Linked DNA regions of Nothobranchius furzeri. The protein of the gene in region 1 purifies or fractionates together with the protein of each later gene. This does not show direct contact. Links are inferred from orthologs where the notes say so. Each region holds a gene or a part of one and is shown on either strand. Other genes may lie near its edges.

Region 1 (4,386 bases):
GGCTTCACTGTAACTTGTCATTTCTGTTAGTTTTGTGATGATTTCTGTTCATATATTTTACTTTTTATCTACCTCACAGTCTTTTCCTGCTGAAAGCAGAGAAGAAAATAAAATCTGTATTATAAATCACTGCTTTTTTTGTGTGGTAGAAGTATCGGTATCGGCGAGTACTCAGATCCAAGTATCGTATCGGTTTAGAAAAAAGTGGTGTCGTTGCCTCCCTAAATATTTTATGTCAAAATTAAGCAACGTCTCCATGAAATTAGCTTCAGTAGGACATCAAATGTCTCCTAAACTTATGTTTAAGCCCAAAAACGACTCCAAACAGCTCTGACTCAAACAGCTTCCCCAACAACAAGGCCAATATGGGCTGGGGTTAAAATTCTGTCTTCTCTCCCTAAGCTGGATCTAAAATGACAACAATATCACAAATGTCTACATAAAGAGTTGGAAGAAAATACAAAAAATCCAACTATTATTACCTTTTTTTATTCTAAAACTGCTGTATTCTCCGTCCACGTGTTACAGTAAATAATGACTGATGGATCAATCTGCCCAGTTTTGATTTAGTTCCCTTAAAGAGTGCCTGCTCACAACATAAGTCATCTCCAAGTGGCAGGTTCAGGCAACATGGCTGCAGAACATTCAGTGAAGTTAGAATATTGGGTTAATTAAAAAATTCTAATTTGTCAAATAAAGAAACCAAGAGATTGTGTTCAATCTTCACTTCAATGCAACCCCCCCCCCCCCCCATTCTGAGCAACCGCAGCACGAGGGCAACAGTGGACAGGAAAACCTTTTAACAGGAAAAGAACTGCCTCAGCTAAACTCATCAGCTCAAATTACAGCATCCGCTAACGGAAAAGGTTTCCGAGCTTAGCAAAGCTAATAACGCAAATAACAAAATCGTGATGTGAAGCATGGGTTACCACCAGAGGAAATACACACTTTGGTGTCATTTGTGGATTTTAAACTTTACGGAGTCATTACCGGGAAAGGATTCTCTACTAATGAGTGTTTTTTTAACAACTGGTTTTTTTTGTTTTTTTACGTGACAACTGTCATAATAAAAGCCTTCTCCATAAACACGTGTCTGGTGAACAAAGTAAATGATACTAACCTTTGCTCTGTGAATAGCTATAAGCTAGCCCATTGAAGGACTCGCTGTCTGCCATCATCAAAACTGTTTTAGGCAGGAGGAATACTTTCTGTAAACAATCAGAAGCAAACAGCACAAAATAAAATATTGTTTGTTGTTTCAGGCAGTTGGAAATTTGCAGATTTTGTGCGTTTCGTGTATTTCCTCCATGTAGTTTCCCCTTTTTATTGTCACTTCTCGTTTTCTGTGATTGCCCTACCAAAGTAGCCTAATGAACTAGACCAAATTCTCGTTTTGCAAAGTTTGGTCTAGGCATGCTCCATTGGAACCTCCGCAGCTCCTACCAGGACTCTGGCTAGCCAATCACAGCTCTCTAGAGGGGTTTCAAACACATAAAGAGCTGTGATTGGTCCATAATGGTGGGCCAATCAAAGTGCTCTATCTGCTTAGTGAACAAATCACAGAGCTTTATCCGCTTTGTGGGCCAATCAGGGCACTCTATGGGCCATTCCCATCTGTACCGGGTCGGCCCGGGCCGGGTAGCCCCAGTCGGCCCCAGCTTGGCCCGGTTGATTCCACACATCCTTGTCTTATGCCCATGTGGGCTGATTCTACCCACCAATCAGAGGCTTGCTCTAATGGAAGGTGTGAATTTGCTGTCAGCAGTGGGTGTGTTGGCCCTGGTCGGCCTGAAGCAGACCCCCTCGAGAAGAGGGCTGAGAATGAGCCTTGGTTGGCCCGGAAAAATACCAGGCCACCCAGATATGTAAACAACCTACGCTACCCGGCCCGGGTCGTACAGATGGGAATGGCCCATTAATGCCTGGTGGGTGGGATGATGCAACAGAGTGAAACAAGAGTATGTCACATTCATTGTCCAGTGGAATGCGGAGATAATTTGAAAGACAACGGTAGAACCCGCCCCACAGCTAAGAGCCGTCAATGGAGGGTGGCCAGAATACATTTATTTAGTCTGGCTTCCCAGGCTACTACCAAAGGTCACTGGAGGTGAAATTTACCTCCACTTCTTCAGCCAGGACGTTGCAGAGAGTATGAACGTCTGTGGTGGAGGGTCCACGCGCTGAAGCCCATGCCAGCTGCTGCTGGGTCCGGAGCACCCTGCGCGCGCAGTTCCTCCACAATCTGCACACACTGACAAAAACAAAACAAAGATGTTCAAAACAAAACAGGAAGTTAGCTTGTCTGCTAAAACACAATTTCAGTAATCGCGCCAAACTTCCAATAAAAATACACCTACCGCTTTAGCTTCACGTTTGTCTAATAATTTTAAAGAACCATAATGACTTTTAATAAGCTAACATAAAGGATAACCAACAGTTTAGCATGTAAACATTACCTCTCGATTCGTAGAAGCGATTTGGTCGGTACGAACGTAAGAATCCTTTCAACCACTTCGGCGACATTACTGAGAACATAAGCTGCCTTACTATCCTGTGAAAAATCGCCTAACTCTTGAATTTCACTCATATTTCTTTCAGATGGAGCGTCTTTAAGCCACAACTGAACAGAAACGAACTTTAACGTCACTTCCTACGCTGCGACGACGAAAGTGGCGGTGCTGCCCCAAGCGGACGGGAGGGGTAATGCAGGCGCTATATTTTATAGTAAATAAATGTCTCAACGGGTGTAAACGTAAATAAATCACATTCGTCTCTTCACACCACATACAGCTCGCTCTCCCTCTGGTTTTATTGCCATGTGTGCGAGAAATCACAACATTAGGAAATTGCTGCAGTTCTTGGTGCAAAAAGAAAGATTCAAAAATAAGAGAAGTAAATATAGGAAATAAGAATATGATCATGATAAAATAATATAAAGTGGCAATAATTAGAGAAACGGCTACTATATAGGTACTGATCAGCTCGGAACAGCTCAGGTACAAAACACAACAGGGTCAAGTGACTGAAACCAAGCCACCGGAGTGTTCATGAGTCCAACAGCAGAGAAGAAGAAACTGTTATTGTGGCGAGAGGTTCTGATCTGAATGGATCTGAGCCTCCTGCCCGATGGGAGCGAGTCAAAAAGACTGTCCACTGGGAACCGGTGCTGATGGTCTGCAGGTCCGAGAGCTTCCCGAGCCTGACTTGTTGCTTCCTGTCTTTCAGGAAGTCAGTGATCCACCTGCAGATGTGGTCAGGCACCTTCATCTGGGACAGTTTGTCTTGGAGGAGGTCTGGCAGGATTGTGTTGAAAGCAGAGATGAAGTCCACCAACAGGATCCTGGTGTAGGTACCCGGATAGTCCAGATGATGCAGGATGTAGTGTAGAGCCATGTTGATGGCATCATCTACAGACCTGTTGGCTCAGTAGGAAAACTGCAGGAGGTCCAGGAGGGGGTCTGTGAGGGTCTTGAGGTGGGGAAGAACCAGGTGCTCAAATGACTTCATGACCTCTCTCTCTCTCCATCCCACTCTCATTTCCCACTGTAAACACAGACCCCATCACCACACACACACACACACACACACACACACACCAGGGGGTCTGGGGTTCTCGTACTTGTGCAGTGATGTTGGAGGGCTTGATGAACACACTCCAGGAGATGATTGTTTGGTCAGGGCCTGGCAGACGTTTTGCCCTGCACAACTGGAGCTCTGCACTGACTCTATGCGTGTGCGTGCGTGCATGTGTGTGTGTGTGTGTGCGTACACCAGAATTTACTCTATGTAAATGTGGGATCATTTTATTAGTTTGTTTTTGCATTCATTCCGTTTCTTTAAACCATTTAGTGAGGCCTGTGATAAATATTTATGTTTTATTTACTGTATTAAAACTCAAAGAAATCTAACCTCAACGAGGCCATACATAATTTGTGCCTTAAATATGTTTTGTTTCATAGTTTAAATATTTAATTATTGATGAATTGTGATTTAGTACAAATTCTCTCTCTCTCACACACACACTTAAAGCTCTTCTCAAAATAATGCTAACAAATTTATATTTTAAACAAAGTGTATAAATCAGAAACCTTTTACACGCTCACTTTGTTTCAGTGACAAAACCTTTAATTTGAGGTTAAAATATACAAGCTTAGGCTTCATTATCGTTTATTTTTTACAGTACATAATAAAATAAAAGAATGTTTTAAATTGTGAAATGTACCTTTAATAATTTAGTTTCTAAATTATGGTAAATAACTAACCTATTTTTTTAATGTAAAACCTTTACTGCTTTTAAAACGGCCACTTCCTCCACACATTTAATGGCAGATAATAACTTTCTTCATGCCTTCTCCAGCGGCTGCCAGTGGTTAATGCTTCTGTTTA
Region 2 (3,822 bases), on another chromosome or scaffold:
CTTTAATGTTTATATGGTATGATTTATACCACTATATTGTGAATAATGTTTTGAACCTTAATTTGAAGAAAATTGGGAATCAAATTGAAGTTGCAATTTCTCCTAGAAAAATGGCAGTTCAATATTTTCCCAAAATCGTTCAAGCCTATTACAGGGTTAGACTCGCGCATTCTAAAAATCATACCTAATTCCTAAAAGGGGGAAAACTCCAGGTTTTAGCTTTAACAATGTATACAGAGTAGATTAGAATAGATTAGAAAATTCTTTTATTGTCCCTCATTGGGAAAATTTTGGTGTCATTACAGCGAAGCAGGTTGACAGGATTGTGTACATTTCACAAGAGGAGCAAAGAAGAATAAAAATAAACATCAGTGATTTTAACTTATTCTGTAAAAGTTGAAAATTTAGGAAAGTAAATATTTCCATCGGACCTAATTATTGCATTGAGTTCAGTTCATTTTCACAATTAAAGTTTCTTATAACCCAGCAGATTGCATTGAGTCACTGACTCGTGTTATTGGCTTTACAGATATCCTCATGCTAAGCAATCACGCAGCGACACAAATTAATCACAGTACTTAATTTGCACACGAGATAATCCAGTCAAGCATAAAACTATGTTAATACTAATTTATGATAAAAATGTAAAAGCTCCTAACATTAGATTATACTTTGAAAGTTTTTTAGTGATCACATTGAGCTTAGTGCATCCCTTTTGCATACAGTTTTGAGCCTTTGGAACCTGTTTGGTTGTCGTCATTTCCGTTTTCTGTGTTTGTTTTTGAGAGTAGAGAAAACTCAAATAAATTAAACTGTCTTTAACCACCAGTGTTGTACTTGACAGATTTACCTGCAAACCTTCAAGCTTCCAATGGCTACTGACATGCCCACGGACATGGAGTCGGCCCCAAACCCTGCCCCATCCTCAGCCTCCGATCCGGCCCCAGCCTCTCCTCCTGCTCTGGACTCCGCTGCAGCCCAAGACCAGAGTCCTACCCAGGAGCCAGCAATCACTGAAACTCCTGATGTTGTGACTTCAGAACAAAATGTTAGTCCACATTCCCCCCCGGTTCCGCCCATAGACCCGGGAGCGACATCAGTTCCTGTCCCTGGTTCTGAGCCATCCCAGGTTCCTCTGCCAGCACCGTTGCCTCCAAATGCTGCCAAGAACCCAAGCTGTAAGATCATGACCTTCCGGCCCACCATGGAGGAGTTTAAGGACTTTGCAAAATATATTGTCTACATGGAGAGTCAAGGAGCTCATCGTGCTGGCCTGGCTAAGGTATTACAACACCTATATGCACATAACATAACCCCCACCTACACATTCAGGTGTGTTTCACTCCAAAACAAATTATGAATTATAATTTGTGATTATAATCGGTCAGCAAACAGCAGAGAACATCTCGACTAATAGAGGCTAGCAGTTAGCATTAGCATCTCCACCACACAGCAGAACTCCTTTGGGCTTGTTTTTAATAAAGCATTAATGTTGCAAAGAAAACTGAGTCGGTGGTAGAGTCATCTTGCTGTTGGCCAATCAGAGGCGAGATGTCAAAATATCAGGAGATAAGATAAATAATCCTGTCATCTGAACTAGCTAATTTTTCCTCTAGCTGAATGCTCCATGCTGAAACAGGCACATCTGAACCCCCCCCCCCCCCCCCAACACACACACACACACACACACACACTTACAAGGCTTTCATTCCTATAGAAACAACTGCAAATGTATCGATGAAATGAGTGAACCACTCCTAATAAAACTTGCTGTAGTCTTGTCATTCCTTTCCTACCCTATAAGGAATCTAGAGCATTAGCCTATTTATCTGCAAATTAACATGACCAAACCTTTCTTTGTTCAGGTGATTCCTCCCGAGGGCTGGAAACCACGCAAGTGCTACGACACCATCGAGGACATGGTGATCCCAGCACCCATCAGTCAGGTGGTGACTGGTCAGTCAGGCCTGTTTACCCAGTACAACATTCAGAAGAAATCCATGACTGTTGGTGAATTCCGCAAGCTGGCCAACAGCAAGAAGTAAGTTGGCCTCTAGTCCTTCAGCTTTATTCATACATTTTATCTTAAACACTGAACTGTGCAAAAGTTTTAGGCAGGTGTGGAAAAACTGCTGTAAACAGGCAATGCTTAGAAAAATGGAAGTGTTGATTATTTGTTTTCACCAATCAACAAAAACAGTGAATGAACAAAAGAGAAATCTAAATTAAATCAATATCTGGTGTGAGCCTTCAAAACAGCATCAGATCTTCTAGCTACACTTGCACACAGCTGTTGAAGGAACTGGGCTGGTAGGTTGTTCCAGACATCTTGGAGAACCAACCACAGTGGATGTAGGCTTCCTCACATCCTTCTGTCTTCATGTAATCTCAGAAACTTCACGATGTTGAGATCAGGGCTTTGTGGGGGCCACACCATCACTTCCAGGACTTCTTCTTTAAACTGGAGATGGATCCTAATGAGTTTAGCCTGATGTTTGGGGTCACTCACTTTGTGTTTTGCAAATTGATAAAAATGAACAATCATTTATATTTCTGAAAGCGTTCTTTGTTCACAGCATTTTTTTCCACACCCGCCTAAAACTTTAGCACAGTCTTGTATGTTTACTTCTTTGTGTTTGAATATTCAGTTTCTTTTGTTAAGTCAGCAATACATAACAGATTTATTTCCTTTGGAGTGAAGAGAAATGACTTTTCTTTAAATTAAAACAAAACAATCACAACCCTACTTGCAAATCACAAGTTAAGACCGAGTTTGAAAGTCTAAAAGTTGCTTTTAGGGCTGCAGCTATCGAATATTTTTGTAATCGAGTACTCTATCGAATCTTTTTTTCGATTAATCGAGTACTCTAATAAATTACCCTTTTGTGTTTGTAAACCATTATATCATATATTGATGAGCCAAGATGGCGTCGAGTATGGCTGCCTCGTCGCGAGCTCCACCAAGTTCCAACATTACACACTCCATACTGTACATTAATGCCACTGTTTTGCACATACCAACCTCTGTACATTTTATATCTCTTATCTTATTGTTTACTTTATTCATTTGTATACTTAGATTAGCCATTTTTATATTTTACTTGTTTTTACATTACCGTATTTTTGCACAACTCTGTTGCTGTGAAGCTCGCACACAAGAATTTCACTCGCATGTACTGTACCAGTGTACCTGCACATGTGACGTGACAATAAAAGTGATTTGATATCAAATAGCATGTTATAATTATGAAAGACCTCTTAAAATGAGCAAGCAATTGCCAGTTATTCTTCAAGTTTTATTCAAAATTAGTTTGCATAACTTCAGCACTTCAACTTTACTTCACAGTAAACAAATGCCTGTGCAAAAAATAAGTAAACAACCTGAGCCGATTTTCCCCTCGTGTGAGAATCTGCTAGCCTGCAAGCCAGACAAAAACTAGGAGGATAACTGTTGAAGTAGCGCTGCGAGCGGCTGCGGCCCAAACAGAAACAGAACCGCTCACGGCGCAAACAGCTCGCCGGCTGTTTCCCTATTAACATACGTCCGTTTTAATTTCTACACTTTTTTTCTCACACTAACAAGGATTGCCAAAAGCATGTTTGCTGTGGTTTTCTCAAATTATACTGATCACAAAACATTTATTTACTTTCTTTCGTTTTCCTCCGCCACTCATAAATACCCGTGTCCTCCTGCAGAAACCCCGAGGGACAACGGACATCAATAACACAATAGAAAGTCCGACGTGTTGTGTAAAAACTGCTATTTTTAGCACATTTTAAGTCCGACGTGTTGCTACCAGATGTACGGTGTGAGCTGAAACT

The links.
Region 2: the proteins of fbxo22 (region 1) and kdm4b purify together in Homo sapiens (affinity purification with western blotting; 3 studies listed by BioGRID, with this or other methods). This does not show direct contact. The link is inferred for Nothobranchius furzeri from reciprocal best matches to the Homo sapiens genes FBXO22 and KDM4B.

What each region holds. Positions count from the first base shown.
Region 1 is NC_091749.1:67,399,863-67,404,248, forward strand, and holds the start of fbxo22 (F-box only protein 22), read right to left. Parts: upstream 3,034-4,386; 5' UTR 2,588-3,033; coding exon 2,457-2,587; intron 2,252-2,456; coding exon 2,119-2,251; intron 1,209-2,118; coding exon 1,121-1,208; intron 1-1,120. UniProt on the Homo sapiens protein: Substrate-recognition component of the SCF (SKP1-CUL1-F-box protein)-type E3 ubiquitin ligase complex that is implicated in the control of various cellular processes such as cell cycle control, transcriptional regulation, DNA damage repair, and apoptosis.
Region 2 is NC_091748.1:64,721,169-64,724,990, reverse strand, and holds part of kdm4b (lysine-specific demethylase 4B), read left to right. Parts: intron 1-844; 5' UTR 845-871; coding exon 872-1,282; intron 1,283-1,865; coding exon 1,866-2,041; intron 2,042-3,822. UniProt on the Homo sapiens protein: Histone demethylase that specifically demethylates 'Lys-9' of histone H3, thereby playing a role in histone code. Does not demethylate histone H3 'Lys-4', H3 'Lys-27', H3 'Lys-36' nor H4 'Lys-20'.